Linked DNA regions of Arabidopsis thaliana. The protein of the gene in region 3 interacts with the protein of the main gene of each other region in a pairwise test. Each region holds a gene or a part of one and is shown on either strand. Other genes may lie near its edges.

Region 1 (4,583 bases), on a different chromosome or scaffold from region 3:
GTGTGGTGAAATTTGGTCTGCTTGGACTTATTTCGCCTAGTGTAAACGCTATGATAACTGCAGCTAACAGGTTTGTCAGTGTGTAGTCAAGATAAGTATGTTGAGGAAGTCTACCGCGTCTTTCGGTTAGAGTCATGATTGCTGGCCATGTCCCTAAGAAGAGCAGAGCCAAGAGCATACAAGTGATTGTTCCTCCTTTGCTCTCTATCACATACATTTTATAAAATCACCAAATCCCACTGCATCAAAGTAAAGAAGTGAGATTCTTCTGTTATCATATCATTGATCTCTCGTGATAAAAATGAAGCTAGTTGTCTTAAGAAAGGTTCTTTAGAACATTAACACAAGACACATGCTGATACAAGAAGATCTCTATAAAACTCAAACCTTATATTCCATTAAATTTCCCTATTGACTAGGTTTCTTGAAAGAGATTACCTTATTAAAGCTTTTGTCTTAACTTTGACTTTGAGGAAGACCAGAGAACAACAGATACAGAAGAAAAAAAACTTAGTCTCTCATTTGATTGGCAGATCCAGATTCAGGAAGAAGTTAGTTTCCCATTTTCTATAAAATAAATAAATCTCAAGTTGCCATAAACTATAGTTTTCTTTCTCTGATGTGTAAACAAAGACAATACAACCAATTGTTGTTAGCAAAGCCCTAAGACAGAAACCAACAAAGAAAACACTTTGGTTAAATATAAACAAAGACTTGAACATGTTGCAGCCATTGGTGAAGTAACTCTTCCTTCAATGGATCCTTTTAGCAGTTTAACTTGAAGAAGTTTCAGTGAATTTCATTTTCTATGTCCCGAGGAAGCCATAAGAACCGCGACAGCGACTATGAACATAAGAAGCATACTGATGAGAAGTGTATATGTTTTTCTTGATGATCTTCTATATTCTCCAAACAACAATATCCCCCAAAATGTACTCACAAGTGGAAGTGCCTGAAACATATTCAAATCATAATAAGTAAAACATATTTCACTCTTAAATCATGGAACAGAGGATTTGTTTATTGTCTAAACCTGAACAGCGTCTGCAGCTGCATAGCCTGCGGCTTGACCACCCATGAACTGAAGACCATTGCCAAATCCACATAGAAATCCAGCCAAGAAAGACCAGCCTCGACCGTTCCAGTCATTCAAATAAGCCTTGAAAGAAGATCTTGGGAGACCAAGTATAGGCCAATAGAGAAATCTGATGTTAAGTATCAGAGCAACTACAAATGCAGAGATGGAGAAGTAGAAGAAGGCAGTGTACACATTTAGTTTTGGAACTCCATGTTTTAATGTGTGCCATTGATCGTTTGTTGCTAAGTTGAATGCAGGTGAGAACAGAGAAAAGCAGATACCGGCAAAGAAAGTTATCACCAATCCGATTATTGTGCTTTTGCCAAAGACCTGTCCTCAATGCCAATCATGAATCTTCAGAGAACATATATACATATCAGTTATATCTGTTAGGGTAAAGGAAGAGTAGTATGTTTCAACCTTTATAGCTCTTTGCTTCTCAAGCTCTATGAGAAAAGCTGCAGTCCCTTCTTTCGCTTTCCCTTTTGTTAACCCGTTGCTTGCAGAAATTGTTTCCATTTCGAAGGAAGAAGTAGTCTCTAAACTGAAACAAGATCAAGATTAGTACCAAACCAAACCAAACGGAAACAACAATAGATATGAATCTTTTTCAAACCTTTTGAAATTTTGGAGTTTGGTTTTGTTATCAGCAGCATTGGATTTATGAACAGCGGAACCGAAACAAACAGCGATCAAGAAACAAGCGACCCCCGGGAAAAGGACCTCAGCTCTGTTGATTCTATCATCCAAGAAATAGTTCAAAGTTGTGCCTGTACTAGAAAACAGAAATGGTCATAAGAACAGAGAAGAAACAGAGGAAAAAATCAGTTAAGAGTAGTTGAAGAAAGAAGAGTGTACCGATAACAACAGTGATACTAGCTGTGATGACTTCAGTAACTGATAAACCAACATAAGCCCAAGCATATTGTGTTGCTAAGTTTCCAAGGCTAAGAACTATTCCTCCAGCCATTGCAAACATCACTGACTGCCAATTATCCTATGATAAAAAAAAAAACCGCGGTTATACAATAGTTTTCGACAAGATGTCTAAGGAGAAGTAAGAAGATGTGACTGACTTGAGAGAGCTGTGTAAAGAAATTTGGTCTGCTCGGACCTATTTCTCCTAGTGTCAACGCTATGATCACTGCAGCTAACAGATTTGTGAGTGTGTAGTCAAGATAAGTGTGTTGAGGAAGTCGACCGCGTCTTTCGGTTAGAGTCATGATTGCTGGCCATGTCCCTAAGAAGAGAAGAGCCAAGAGCATACATGCAATTGCTCCTCCTTTGCTCTCTATCATATACATCTTTCTATCTCTCTTTTATATACTTATAAAAATCATGAAAAAAACTCTGCACCAAACAAGATTCTTTTGGTTATCTGATCTTCGACACACATTAATGATCGATCAAACTCAAATTGAGGATTGTGATCTTTAGACAACCGCAAAGGCAAGGCAAGAGTCAAAATCTATTGGGTTTCTAGAGAAGCAATGAAGAACAGAGAGAGTACTAAAAAGTAAACATCTTTGACTAATAATGAGTTTCTTGAAAGAGATTATTATTACCTTTTGGAAGCTTCTGTTCTAACTCTAACAAAGAACAAAGACAGAACAAGAGAGAACAACTTTTGATTCTTCCCTTTGGGGAGATTCAGAATAATTGCTAGTGGCTCTCATATTATTGGCAGATTCGGATTCCATGAGATATGACACCTTCCTCGATATATTTTTCAAGATAATTTTGTAGTATAAAATAAATAAAATGAATCTCGAGTTGCGTTCCGATTAGGTTCCTAGTTGATCATAAGTCAACGGCTGACACAATCTTGTCTTAAAATCATTATAAAAAAAAAAATTCAAAACAAAAAGGTGAAGTAAAAGTATGTAACAATAATCAATAATCTTGATGTAGTGGCGCAAAGTATACTGATAAAGCTTGCTGTTCTTGTAAGCTAAATCCCCAAACATCGGAGCTGATGTCCCATACTTATCATTCCAGTTCCACCAAGAATCATCTCCTTTCTTGTATGTGAACAAATAACTGTTGTGTAAAGTCCAAGCAATTAAATAATCCACTGTCCTCTCATCTATCCAAGACCAACTGATCTTGTTATTCCCAACATGTGTTTGGACACGCAATACTTACCAAAAGGATGGAGGACGAACCATCCCCACTTGCCTTGTCTATTATAGTATCTGCTTGGCTCGAATCTTATTTTTCCACCGCGAACTGACGACTCCATTGACGGAAGATTGATCTTTAATAAGATTCGAATCAAGACGAGACTTGTTAAAGTTTCAAATCCTTAAACTCTAGAAACTCTAGATCGTAATGATAGAATCGATTACGTAACTACAAAGAGAAGATAAGAATCGTTATGTTTAGATCAACATAGATATAAGCAACCGATGACCAAGAGATCAACATTGATCTCTTCCTCTGGCACATCACAAGGCCAATTCTCTCTCGAGAAATATCACAACATAAAAAGCATAAAATCCCCAGATAAGAACAGAGTCAGTATTTATAGAAGAAGAGTTTCAAGGCCTCTAACTGGAAAGAGTATTTGCCCTCATTTGTTAAGTCAACTCAGTCAACACAGTAGTTGACTTCCTCTTTTCTCTTCTCAGCTTCGCTTAGCCCAATCTTCTCAGCTTCTTTCTCTAGTAGTCGACCTTATAAACCTATCAAGAATCTACCATCAAGAGCCAGTTTCCGGAGCTAGCCATATAATAGCTATTGTCAGAGAGTCCGAGGAGTTTTGTCCCGTAAATCTTGTCTTCACCGGGATCAAACAAACTGGAAGAATCATCATCGTAGTATATGATCCGCCATGGATACAGAGGCCGTTTCACGCATGTTTTCCAAACGAAATACCAATCTGAGCAAACGAGTTTTGCTTGGTGGTAGTCAATAGAGTTCAAGCTTTCAATGATTTTTCGCAAAAGGTCAAGACAAAGCTTGGACCAGTCGTGATGATGAGATACTTTTGGTCAGTTTTCTTCTCTCATCAAATCGTTACGCGCATCCACCTTGATGATCTTTAGGTAAATAAAGATCAATATTTTCATGGTCTTTTGCAAAGATCGCGCGGGACAAATTAAAGTTTGGACCAACCGTGATTATCAAACACTTTTGGTCTTTTCTCTTCTCTCATCGACATATCCATGTCTGCGCCTACTTGCCCTATACGCTAAAGTAACTAAGGTTTTGTTTTAGGGATTAGAACGAACGCCTATTAAGTTTAACTATTTTTATACATTTACATATAAGTAAGGTTCCCTCAAACTCATACCGTAAAAAACTGACAAGTGGTGTTTGATTCATTTGACATATGTCATTCCTCTCAAATTTAAATATACTATTTTTATATTTACTCAATCTAATAATAGTTTTATACTAAACAAATCTATTGAATTATTCTAGTGAATAACTTCCCTGCATATTAGATCTTCTCGATAGCCAGATAGTTGGTGGTCGTATATCAGCTAAAGAGCTTACTTTT
Region 2 (6,312 bases), on a different chromosome or scaffold from region 3:
AACCCTAAAAAGCGATATAGAATTGGGGAAAGCAAAATAAACAACAGAATAGAGAGAGAGAGAGAGAGTATCATCACGCGAATATCATCATCAACAAAACAGTTGAAGAGAGTTGGTGTGTAAAAAAGAGAGAGAGAGAGAGGGAGAGGGAAACCCACGTTTTGAAGAGACTCGATGACTCTGTCCATGTATATGATCTGAGACTGGTACGCCTCGAATGGGAATTCAACATTGATTCCTCTGATGCTGTAATTTGGCATTTTCGGGTCGGATTCCGCCGATAACACCACAAAACCTCTCCGGAGAAGACGAAGAAGAAGACGGAAGCAGACGCGCCTCTTCTGATTTTCCCGCCTTGTAGGGCTTCCACTTCTTGAAACAACCGTAAAGCCCATTATAACCCACTACTTTATTAACAAGGCCCATTACCTGATACCTGATGGTCTGTATTGGGGCCCCCAATAAACCCTAAACCCTAAACTATTTGGGGGAGTTAAAAAGTTTTGTTTTGTTTTGTAATGCTGTGTACCAAAATTTGTCCGAGTTAGTACGATTTTCTCCTTAGTCGCGTTTTGCTTGTATGTGTGTCTCTGAAGAAAAGTGATACAGAGAGAAAGAAAGAGAAGGGAGCCAATGAGAGAATATCAAAACTGTGAAAAAGAAGTTTCCGTCAAGATTCCAGGACAAAAGTATTGTATTTTTTGTTTTGTTTATCAATGTAAAATCTCATTTCTGTTTCACTCTTCCTCCGATCCCGACTCTTCAGAACTCGACTCTTTCTTCTGTTTCACACTCCCATTGGCCTTCTTCGACCCTCTCTTCTCATCCATATCTTTCTTCTCATCCTCATCTTCACTGTACTCACTTTCGTAATCATCATCGTAATCCTCCTCCTCAATCTCATCTTCCTCCTCCATACCTTCTTCTGCAATCGCACCCTCATCTGAAACCAACCCACGTGTCCCTGCCCTGGTTCTTTTCAGGACTTTCACTTTCAGTGCTTGCTTTTTGTCACACCCGATCCATGTGTCACACAGGCAGAAGCAAGTCAAGTTGTATGTTCCCTCTGCCGGTGCTTGGAGTTTACCCATGACCAGCCTTGACCCTCCTTTAACCTTCTCAATCGCTTCTCTCACTGCATCGTTTGTTTCCTTCACCCCTGCACCCGAACCTTCCATTGACTCACTGATGGCTTTTGATGCAGCCGTTATCGCTCCACCTTCATCCAGGAAGCTAACCTTCTGAGAGAACCAAACGTTGTTCGACACTGAATCAGCCAGAAGAACCCAATAGTTTTCCTCCTTGTGGAAGGGGAAGTAGGGTGCATGAGGAAGAGCGCCTACAAGCCCATTGGGTCGTTTCAGGGTGACCCAAGCTTGAAGGGTCACAATGTCTCCCTCTTGGATCCCCTCTTCCCCTTCTGTTTCACATGTGATGTCGACTGTAATAGACGGCATCATTTCTAGCACCTTCTCAATGTCCTCAACATCAGTTGCTGATAAACCCGCTACCTGAGTAAGTAGTTCAGAACGGTCTTCCAACCTCATTTCTTGAAGATCTTGGAATGATTTAACCTTCTGAAAATAGGAGAAACAATGACATGTTAACATAAAATGGAGGTTTATATATGTCTTTAGACTAGACCTTTAAGTAAACCAACCTAAAGAACCACTACTACTTATTTGGAGAACAGAATCCAACAAGATTCTCAGGAATCAAAAAGTGAGAGAAAAATGCACATGATATGGAACTAGATATTAGTACTGCACTTGACACATTTGATAGTAGTATACCTTCCGTGCTATCTTTTTGACAACGGCATCACTGAAATGAGGGAGCTGTAAGAAAGGGGAAATGCCTTCTGATGATACTCCAGAAGACTTCCTTGCACTAAGAGGAACAGCCTGCGATTTTGGATTTTTAGTTTATGTTCCTAGACAACAACACTAAGCACTTCTTAAACTTTCAGGAAGAAGTAAATCTTGTGGAGAAAAGAGACATAAAGAACTGAAAGCTCACAAACAAATAAAAACTAGAAGATAGGCGATGAGAGCAATTTAAGACCTGAACAATGCACTGAGATAGCTCAACTACTCCAACTGCAGGCCTCAGCCATCCATGCCCTTGGGCAGTGCGTGGTATAACCGCCATCTGCAAGAAACTCACAATGTTATAATGAAAGAATGGTTAAGAAAACCACAATTTAACAGTGTAACCAAAAGCATCACTATTAACCTAAATTTCTAAGTCTTTTAAGAGTCTGTTTCGAGTTCCTCTAAAGGAAAATACATATCTTCTAGGTTAGCACTTTGCGGTCATCGCTTTTTGATGGTTATTTTATCAGAAATTGTGTTATTTAAATAGAGACTAGACCTTCAATAACTCCTCAAGGAGGCGAGGTGCAAGCTCTAGCACACGCCTGAAATCACCCTGAAGGGCTGGAGACAGGACTCCTGATTCACGAGTTAACTGGGCTTGTATCAACAGCTCGGTCTGTACAGAAATTGAGGAAGTGAGTATTTCAGTTTATCCAATATTTAGCATTACAGTTGCATAATTTTAAAATTCACCTTCACTATGGCAGGATGCTGTTTCCAAAACTTAGCTTGCTCTTGCTTCATGTTCTTCAGGTCCAAATTTAGTTCACTCCTAACAGACATAAAGAGCTTCTGCAGAGGTTCATCATCAGTTCTACGAACTGGAATCTCCATGTACTCAGCTGCCTTGGTGAAAACTTCCATAACTTTGCTGGACAATAAAAATTTTAAAACATGTCATACAAACAAACGAAAACACAGCCCATTTGTCATGCACCAATAGCATCACTTGAATGTATATGGGTATGAGTGAATATACCTTGGGGCCAGAGAGGGTTTCATTAGATAATAATATGCGGAGAGTGTTTGATGCATAACGTAGTTCCCAGTATACTTTGATGACCTCGAGAGATATATAACAGCAATCACAAGGGGCAAGAGAATACAGACACCAACTATCCAAAGCAATAATATGCCACCAGATGCTCCATCAATGTCTAGAAGAAATTGAGGAAGAGCAATGCCCATTTGAAATCCCTGCGATCACATAACAATATTTTAGTCTCAATAGGCTTGTCAATAAGACGGGAGCACATGCGAAGGGAAAGGAGATGTATCCTTACCTGTCTGCCATCTGGATGACCATACTTCTCAAAGTTTTCACGGGATACTGAATCAGTCAAAGCCTGGTATGCTTTAGATATGAACTCCACAAAATATTTATTGGCTTCTGTAGAGATCAACAAATGCGCATAGAAGAAAAAACTATCAGGATCAAAAGCTGCAACCATAATTCCGTAATGATCAAAAGGGAAAAAAAAAATAACAAGGGGAAAAACTTGACCTGGATCTGGATTTTTATCAGGATGGTATTGAATCGACAGCCTTCTATATGCTTTCTTTATTTCTGAATCTGTAACTCCAGGTTCCAGTCCAAGTATACTGAATGGGTCAAAAACTTGAGCCTGTAACACAAAAGAAGGTAAATAAGCAAGTAGAATTAGTTGATATAAGTCAGCGGTGCATTCAAGTTCAACAGCAAGCAATGGGATTACCTCACGGCTCATGTTCTTAGTGTAATAAATCAAGAAAATCATCACGACCCAGAGTAGCACAAGTGTCAAGTTGCTCCACGTAGAGAAGTTAGAGATCTGCAGATAGATAAGTGAAGAAGAGGTTAGGAACATGCAATAATCTATTACAGAGCAGGAGGTTGAGTGGAAAGTAACCTTTTTAAACAAGGATCTCTTATATTTTCCAGAACGGTCACACTCGAGACACTGACAATGAATGGTCCTTTGTTTCTTGGAGAGAGCACCGCTTAACTTGACCATGGTGTAAGGCACCAAAGGAATTGCCATAATCGTCAAGATAAAAATGGGAAACAATGCGCTATTCTCTTCTGACGCCGCCATCTTTGGAGCCTTTAAACTGAGAGATTCTATTCTGCTGAAAGGAAAAGCTCTGTTATAATCTCACAACATCCAAAAAGCTTCAAGGATACAAAATTATCAATAACATGAAAAGCTGGATCTGAGGCCACTGAAATTAATTAGGGATTCTACATGACGGAGATCAACACTAATAGATCTCGGCTAATCTAGTCTAAAGGTATATGAATCCCTGGACTCACTTTGAGATCGACACAAAACCTTAGAAAACAAACAAACGAAACTACGGGAAGGAAGCAAAACCAATAATTGGTGAAAGAAGATGAAATCGAACTTGAAAGGATATTGTAGAAGAGGAAATCGAAGAAGAAGCTCACCTAGGATGATAGCTCTCTATAATCAGAGAGATCGCGCTGCTGCAGATCGGCAACAAACGGCGTTGCAGTTTTTTTTTCTTTATGCTTCTCTTCTCTTCTAATTTCTGATTTCTGATTGGTGAGTTCTTTCTTCTTTACTTGCTTATTCACTTTTCTTTACCTTCTCAATTAAAATATTTCGCAATTCATTTCTCTCTTTACATTTTTACGAGTTATTTATTTTCCATTAAATTAGAGTAATTATTAATAGCAAAGTTTTTATGGTGAACGAAAACGAATTTCCCAAAAAAAATCACATTTTTTATAAATTAGAAAGGAAAAAGAGAAAAGGATATGGATCAAAGAGGGATTATATGCTCTAGAGATTTAATGTGATCCAGATATTGTAATAGGGATTGCAACAAATCTCTTATATGTTCTAGAGATTTAATGTGATCTAGAGATTGTAAATAGTTACAACAAAATAGAGATTTAAACAAAACAAATATTTAATGATTTTAAGAAAACTGTTTTGTTGTAACTATTTATATTTCGACCAGAAATAAATTGTTCTACTTGCAAAATACATCAATCTTCGTTATTATTATCGATTTAATCATAAACTGTCTAATTCAATTAAATTTATAAGAGCATGGTTACCAATACTTTTTTATCTACTGTAACGAAAGCTAATAATGATTTTGAATGAGTTTGGTATGATTTGGTTATTCGATTCACTAAAATAGTCGTTTTAAATCTAGCCAAATATCGTATAATTTTACTTGTTTTGATTATATTAAATAATCAGTTATTTGAAAACTTTGTTGACATGTTAATATTATATATAACTAAAACAAAATATAGATATTAAAAACAAAGAAAATGTTATTATATAGCTATTATCGTTTTTCATACCATTTAAATTTTATTACTGGCTTTCATATTATGATATTGTTGTACATAGACACCACTGCTAAAATGCTTATTAACTTGAGATTTTGCTTGTGAGATTTGGAGGCTAATTTTTTTCTCGGTTAAGCATTTCTCGCATCATATGCCTTCCACATAGTTTGAGCTTTTGTTCACCAAATGTTCTTACCACTCTCAAGAAACTGGCAGCACACGAATATGCTTTCCACATGGTTTGAGCTTTTCTCTTGGACAAAAACTCGTTCACCAAATGTTCCTACCACTCTCAAGAAACTGGCAGCACACGCATATGCCTTCCACATAGTTTGAGCTTCTCTCTTGGACAAAAACTCGTTCACCAAATGTTCCTTCCACTCTCAAAAAAATGGCAGCACACGGTGGAGTTTACCACATTTGAAAACAAGTAAATAATGTCTTACATAATTCACAGTCACTGCTTTCTTCGATCATTTTCAAGAATTTTGACCGTGAAATTTGCAATACCATATCTTCAAGAAGACATCTAAAAGGTTTTCGCAATCTGGTGATTAGGTTAATGCTCTTTTGTAATACATTTCTTTCATTTTATATATGATATTAACATTTATAACAAAAGAAAACAATCATAGCATATTGCATGTCATTGCAAGTTTGCTATATACAGTAGTTTTAAACCGAGTAAACTTAAGATCAGGTAGGAAAGATGCAAATAAAGAAGCAAGTGATACCAAAAATATATGTAAACATTTAATATAGTTCTTCAATCTAATTGACGATTAGAAAGTACTGTACTAGATGATTACGATCCAAGATTTTTGTCCACACTAAGAATATTTCACAAAATAAGGTTTGCAACAGTAGGATTGAAATGCCAGTAAACAGTGACATTATCTCGAAAAAATCCAACTCAGAAATCATTTACTAGCTAATAATATTTTTCAAATAGTTTAGAATTATTATTGTTGTTTATCATTAACGCATACAAAGTTAGTTGTATAATCTTTCAACTTATAAATAATTTGGTTTTGGACGGAAGAGCTTTACGCAAATGTATTAATTTGGTTTTGATAATTTTTATTTGTAGACTCGATTTGTTTACGTAAATTATGAAAGAGAGGC
Region 3 (5,283 bases):
TGTTCGCTAGAATCGTCGGAGGACTCGGAGGCAGAGCCGCCGAAGATGTAATTTTTGGAGAACCGGAGATAACCACCGGCGCTGCCGGTGATCTCCAGCAAGTCACTGAGATAGCAAGACAGGTACAGTAATTGAAACAAAATTTTCATAAACCGGAAAAAAACGGTGGATTTTCTAATTATTCTTATGGTTCAGATGGTGACGATGTTTGGTATGTCGGAAATCGGTCCATGGGCACTAACCGACCCAGCGGTTAAGCAAAACGATGTGGTTCTACGGATGCTAGCGAGGAACTCAATGTCCGAGAAACTTGCGGAGGATATTGATTCTTGCGTGAAGAAAATAATCGGTGACGCTTACGAGGTTGCGAAAAAGCACGTGAGGAATAATAGAGAAGCTATAGACAAGCTTGTTGATGTTTTGTTGGAGAAAGAAACCTTAACGGGAGACGAGTTTCGAGCAATTCTGTCTGAGTATACTGATCAACCGTTAAATACCGATGGCGATGTAAGAATTCGAATCAATGACTTGATTAGTGTCTAATACAGACACCTAGATCAACTCATGTCTTCATTTAACGTATTCACATTTTTCTCATTCCAAATTATTACATAACTCAAAAAAACTTCGTTAACGAAAGTCACAAAAAATCAAATAAAACAAATTATGGTATTGGACTGTTGGTAGTACAAATATCTTCCTAAACAAATACTCTATAAGCTAAACTTCACCTATTGGGATTTCAAAATCGACCAAAAATGTCCTTGACCGCTTGGTAAGTTCCGGTTATCACAACCACGATACCGGTTAGAGTGATTCCGATGAGCACCAATGTTTCGAATCCGAGTCTTTGATATTTCCCAGAGATCTTTAAGTAACATAAACATGGCAATATAACCGATGCGGATGCGCTCAAGAATGCTCCCACAAGACTCATAAGATCACCAAAAAACGGAAGAAGCAATGCCACAATCACATTGCTAGTAACTAGTATTGTACTTAGCAAAAATCCAGAAGCTCTTTTATTAGGCAAAACTCGAGAAAACCGGCTTCTCATTGCGTCAATAATAGGTGTAACCATGAGAGCAAACTTAGCTATTGGGTTGACCAATGTAGTCCATATCGCCACTTTTGAACTAAGCTTATCAGTAGGAAGATTCAAAGTGATCTGTGATTCAACATCTGATCCATACATTAAGTAACCCAATACCGCCACTGATGCATATATGAAGGTGCATATTGTGAAACATATAATCATAACCTGAAAATGTTAAAAAAAATATGCAAAATTATTAGTGTGAGTTTTGGTCAAGAATAACCTAATGATCCGTTATGTAAAAAACTTACGTTTGAGAATTGGCGTTTGTTCTTCATGGAAGTGTATAGAGTTGGGAAAACTGGATGAGCGCAATAACAAAACGCGTATAAGCTCACCGAAGTAGCGACTCCATTAAGTCGAAAGACCTCTGAGTCATTGTTCTTGAACCCTACGCCTTCAAAAGCTCCAACCGAAAAGATAGAAGCAAGAATAACCCCGGAAGCAAAGACACCACTCGCGGAAACATAAGAAAGAATCCTCATATTGTCTAACCAAACCGAAGGAAGAATAATGAGAGCCACCATGATGATGAACATTTGCTTGCCTTGGAATTCAAGCCCCATGAAGTTGAGTCCAACGTTTGAGAAGAGTTTGTTAAGGTTGTCACCTTCTAGGATCAAGAAACTAGTTGCAACTAGGTAAAGCTCGAGGTTCATGAAGATGGAGACGATAACACGTCCTGTGTTTCCAAAGGCTTTGTAGCCAATGTCCGGGTATGATCTAAGAAGTGGATCCATTTCCATACATCTCTTAATGAGAATGGCACAGTAGAAAGTTGTGATCGCTACGGTGAAAAGTATGATCAAACTTAGCCATCCTCCGGATGCTAAGGCATAAGGGACCGATAATATACCCACACCTAAAAAAAAAAGAGTTGATCAGAAGAATGTCCAAGCCTAACGCATATGCTAATTAACGTTTTTTGTGTTAACTATTTACAAACGTTCTTTTTGTATATATGAAAACGCAAACGCAGTTTTTAATTGAAAACACAAACGCAAAGAAATATTCGTGGTCTCGTTACCAATAAGATAATATGATTTGATTTTATCAAAGTGGTTTGTAGTCTTGTAGAAGAAGAAGAACACAAATTGAAAAGGGAAGACGTGTTGTTAATGTGTTAAGGTTTTGTTCAGTGACACGTTGTATTTATATCTGAAAGATAATTGGAATTGCTGGTTTCTTTCTATTTAATTATATGGACTGTTTTTTGTTCGTATATGGTCTAGTTTGGTCTAGTTTGGTCAGACGTGTTTCCAGTATATAATTAGTTTTTTTAGTATAAACTAAGTATCTAGTTTGGTATATAAACAATTAAGTACAACGATAGCGGCCAGTTTGATAAACCCATTATTAGGCCATTACCACATTTAGCGAATAAATAATAGCAATAGTCATTGAAAACTTTGCCGAATTGTTAATACTATAGTGTTAAATTCAGTTAAACGGAACCATCCTAACCTTTAATAGTCAGAACAAAAATGATTTGGTTATTTAGCACTATTGTTTATCAAAGACTATGAAACTGAATCTAGACGAAGAAAAACACAATTCAGTCTAAGTAGAACTGGTTTTAACTTGGTTATGATAAATTATCAACAGAAAAATTAAATAACTAAAAAAACTGAGGCAAGACTAGGAGGTAAAGAAACAAAATGTAGGATTGAAATACACACCAATCTAGATGATACAAGATAAAGTCAAAAGCTTGAGTTAAAAACATGCATCTATAGAAATTAAGTACAATAAAGCTAATTATAGTTTTTTCTAGATTATTTTGAAAATTAAGATATATCCTATCCATATATGTGGACATGCTAAGAGTTGGATCTTTCCCCGTGAGTTATGGAGTTTGGAGATAAGAAGAAGTGGTGAATAAATCAAAAAGAAAAAATCAATCACGAAAATGAAAATAGAAAAAAAAAAAAAGAAGAAGAAGAGGAAATTAAACCTGATAAGGCGTTAATGCCATGGAAACAAGTCTTGGAGAAAGAAGTATTGCCCTGTGGATTATAATCATCAAGCAATGATTCTTCATCATCAATCTTCTTAACGATAAATGGCTCCGACATGTAATCTTTGTCCTCGCTCATACTTGTTTAGTCTTTGACTCTGCTCTTTGGATATCGAAGAGACAAAGAGAGAGAGACGGAGAGATCGAGAGACGAAGGAAATAGATAGAGAGAAGTTGGAACTTGGAAGTAAACAATAAAGAAACCCTCAAAAGGCAATATATATAGTGTTAATACATTTACTAGGGTCAATGTTTTTAAATTACATCAATTATTAGAGCTGATTTTTATGCAGTATCCATGCACATATGATATCTACACGATATTAGCGTGGCAGTGGAATTCTATTTAATGTTTATTGACCAATTAAATATTCGTGGATGGGGTTTTTAGAAACTAATTGAAATTTAAGTGCAACTCTTTATATAGAAAAAAATTATAACCACTTACACACAAATCTACCATAATTTGCGATTTGTGTGGTTCTAGAATTTAATGTTAGTTGTATAAGAAAATTGGTAGGAAGAGAGAAAATAAAACTCCACGAAGTTTTCCACTTTAATGTTAGGGCGTTTAACTTAGGTGATAGAGAGAATGCAAGTACCAAATCCTCTTTCGGTGAAGACTGAAGAGGGATCAAATTTTCATAAAAATACATGGTCCAAAGTAGTATATCATGTCAATAATCTGTTGGACGAGACTGGAGCACTTGAAAAATCGTCACATATTTTTTTGTTGTCGTTTGTTAAAAATAGTTGACAAGTGAATCCCCAGACCTAAAGAGTAGATAAGTATGAATAGCCTTGATCTGACGTAAATCAATATCTTGACGCTAGTTTACAGTTATGTTCTACAAGGTGCCGAGTAGTTCTAACAATAATGAAAATATCGACATATATATCTATATATTTTCGTTACTATTAAAACCATACTGCAAATTTTTTACAGTTATCCAATATGTTTTCATTCAGAAATCGAAACCAAAAACTTTTATAGGTTACAAAATGAGTTCTTTAGAAAAGAAGAATACTCATTGCCGGCCATTTCCCCATGTTGTGCTTGTGAAAAAATAGCATGCACATGTTGATAAAAAAAAAAAGTATCTTCTTCAAGATCACCATTCAAAATGCATGTGAGATGTCTAACAAAGAGAGCTAAATTGAGCTTTGTTGTTAATGCTAATAACTATAGTTGTACTCCAAACCTCATATTTCTTGTCGATTAATGTCAATATATAAGGCATTATTAAGAGTATTTATTGATACGTAGGGTAATGAACGGGTAAAACGTTTATAAGTTTGTGGTTCATATCATTGCACCGATTGTAAAATATCGTTGTCGTTATTTATTTCCAACTGCCCAAAGCCCAAGTCTTGTATAAAAGAAGATTGCGGCAAAAAGCAATCGCGTTAGAACACGTGATTTTGTAAAAAGCTTGGAAAAATCAATAATGGGCTTTTTAGTACTGGGCCGAGAGACCCAATGTCACTCTTTTCTACATATGCATACTTCTTTCGCAGGAATTTTTTAAATTGTATTATTTGGTTTGCCTTACCCTTTATAGTATTACTATTTTCGAAATGGAAAATATCTTTTTTTTTGGTGGATGAATGGGAAAATATCTTTAGAAACACAAGTATTCATGAAAAATATCATTCATAGGGCCACTCTCATTTTTTTTAGGATTTAGAACAAAATCCGAAAAGGAGTGACATAACATTACAACATTAGGAATAAAGTAGATAAAACATTGATCAAAGGAAATTTAGTTATAGTTGAAAATTTTTATTATAAAAAGGGAACGAAGGGAGATTTTTTCAAGGGCATTTTGGTCCACCCTCTTGAGTTTTCCAGTTGTTGTAGCAGGAGCAAACTTGTTTGTTCCCATAGTAACCCGGAGGCACACAGAGACACTTCCTGCAGCATTTGTTGCAGAACGTAATGCAAGCCTTGTGGTACTGTGTCTTTTTACACCTCCTATCACATTCCGATGGGCATTCTGGTTGTTTCAAATACAAACAATATCAAAATGTTAACACTCAAAAATTTTTTATTACTAATAAAAACAACAGAATCTAGTGGAAATTCATTAGCTTTTTTTTTTACTGTTTTGTGGGTCTCAAGATAGTGGGTTGCTTTGACTGTATGACCATATTAAGGGGCAATTTCGTC

What was found. The genes of interacting proteins can lie anywhere in the genome.
Region 1: the proteins of AT5G15240 (region 3) and UPS1 interact in a protein complementation assay, tested with the Arabidopsis thaliana proteins (one large-scale study listed by BioGRID).
Region 2: the proteins of AT5G15240 (region 3) and ATERDJ2A interact in a protein complementation assay, tested with the Arabidopsis thaliana proteins (one large-scale study listed by BioGRID).

The regions. Positions count from the first base shown.
Region 1 is NC_003071.7:1,092,928-1,097,510, reverse strand, and holds UPS1 (ureide permease 1), read right to left. Parts: upstream 2,810-4,583; 5' UTR 2,383-2,809; coding exon 2,155-2,382; intron 2,076-2,154; coding exon 1,937-2,075; intron 1,849-1,936; coding exon 1,695-1,848; intron 1,623-1,694; coding exon 1,499-1,622; intron 1,409-1,498; coding exon 1,034-1,408; intron 953-1,033; coding exon 800-952; 3' UTR 535-799; downstream 1-534. Other genes in the region: UPS3 (ureide permease 3), read right to left, coding at 1-217; AT2G03580 (F-box family protein-like protein), read right to left, coding at 3,030-3,118, 3,224-3,335, 3,778-3,959, 4,196-4,247. UniProt on the Arabidopsis thaliana protein: Proton-coupled transporter that transports a wide spectrum of oxo derivatives of heterocyclic nitrogen compounds, including allantoin, uric acid and xanthine, but not adenine.
Region 2 is NC_003070.9:30,067,663-30,073,974, reverse strand, and holds ATERDJ2A (DnaJ / Sec63 Brl domains-containing protein), read right to left. Parts: upstream 4,457-6,312; 5' UTR 4,306-4,456; exon of another isoform or gene 4,263-4,305; intron 3,987-4,262; exon of another isoform or gene 3,984-3,986; 5' UTR 3,953-3,983; coding exon 3,767-3,952; intron 3,689-3,766; coding exon 3,593-3,688; intron 3,503-3,592; coding exon 3,382-3,502; intron 3,268-3,381; coding exon 3,161-3,267; intron 3,075-3,160; coding exon 2,857-3,074; intron 2,749-2,856; coding exon 2,571-2,748; intron 2,494-2,570; coding exon 2,374-2,493; intron 2,152-2,373; coding exon 2,065-2,151; intron 1,905-2,064; coding exon 1,794-1,904; intron 1,578-1,793; coding exon 738-1,577; 3' UTR 535-737; downstream 1-534. Other genes in the region: AT1G79950 (RAD3-like DNA-binding helicase protein), read right to left, coding at 159-395. UniProt on the Arabidopsis thaliana protein: Required for integral membrane and secreted preprotein translocation across the endoplasmic reticulum membrane.
Region 3 is NC_003076.8:4,945,671-4,950,953, reverse strand, and holds AT5G15240 (Transmembrane amino acid transporter family protein), read right to left. Parts: upstream 3,378-5,283; 5' UTR 3,193-3,377; coding exon 3,051-3,192; intron 2,380-3,050; exon of another isoform or gene 1,959-2,379; coding exon 1,348-1,958; intron 1,262-1,347; coding exon 743-1,261; 3' UTR 544-742; downstream 1-543. Other genes in the region: FTSH6 (FTSH protease 6), read left to right, coding at 1-122, 196-543; GASA4 (GAST1 protein homolog 4), read right to left, coding at 4,929-5,110.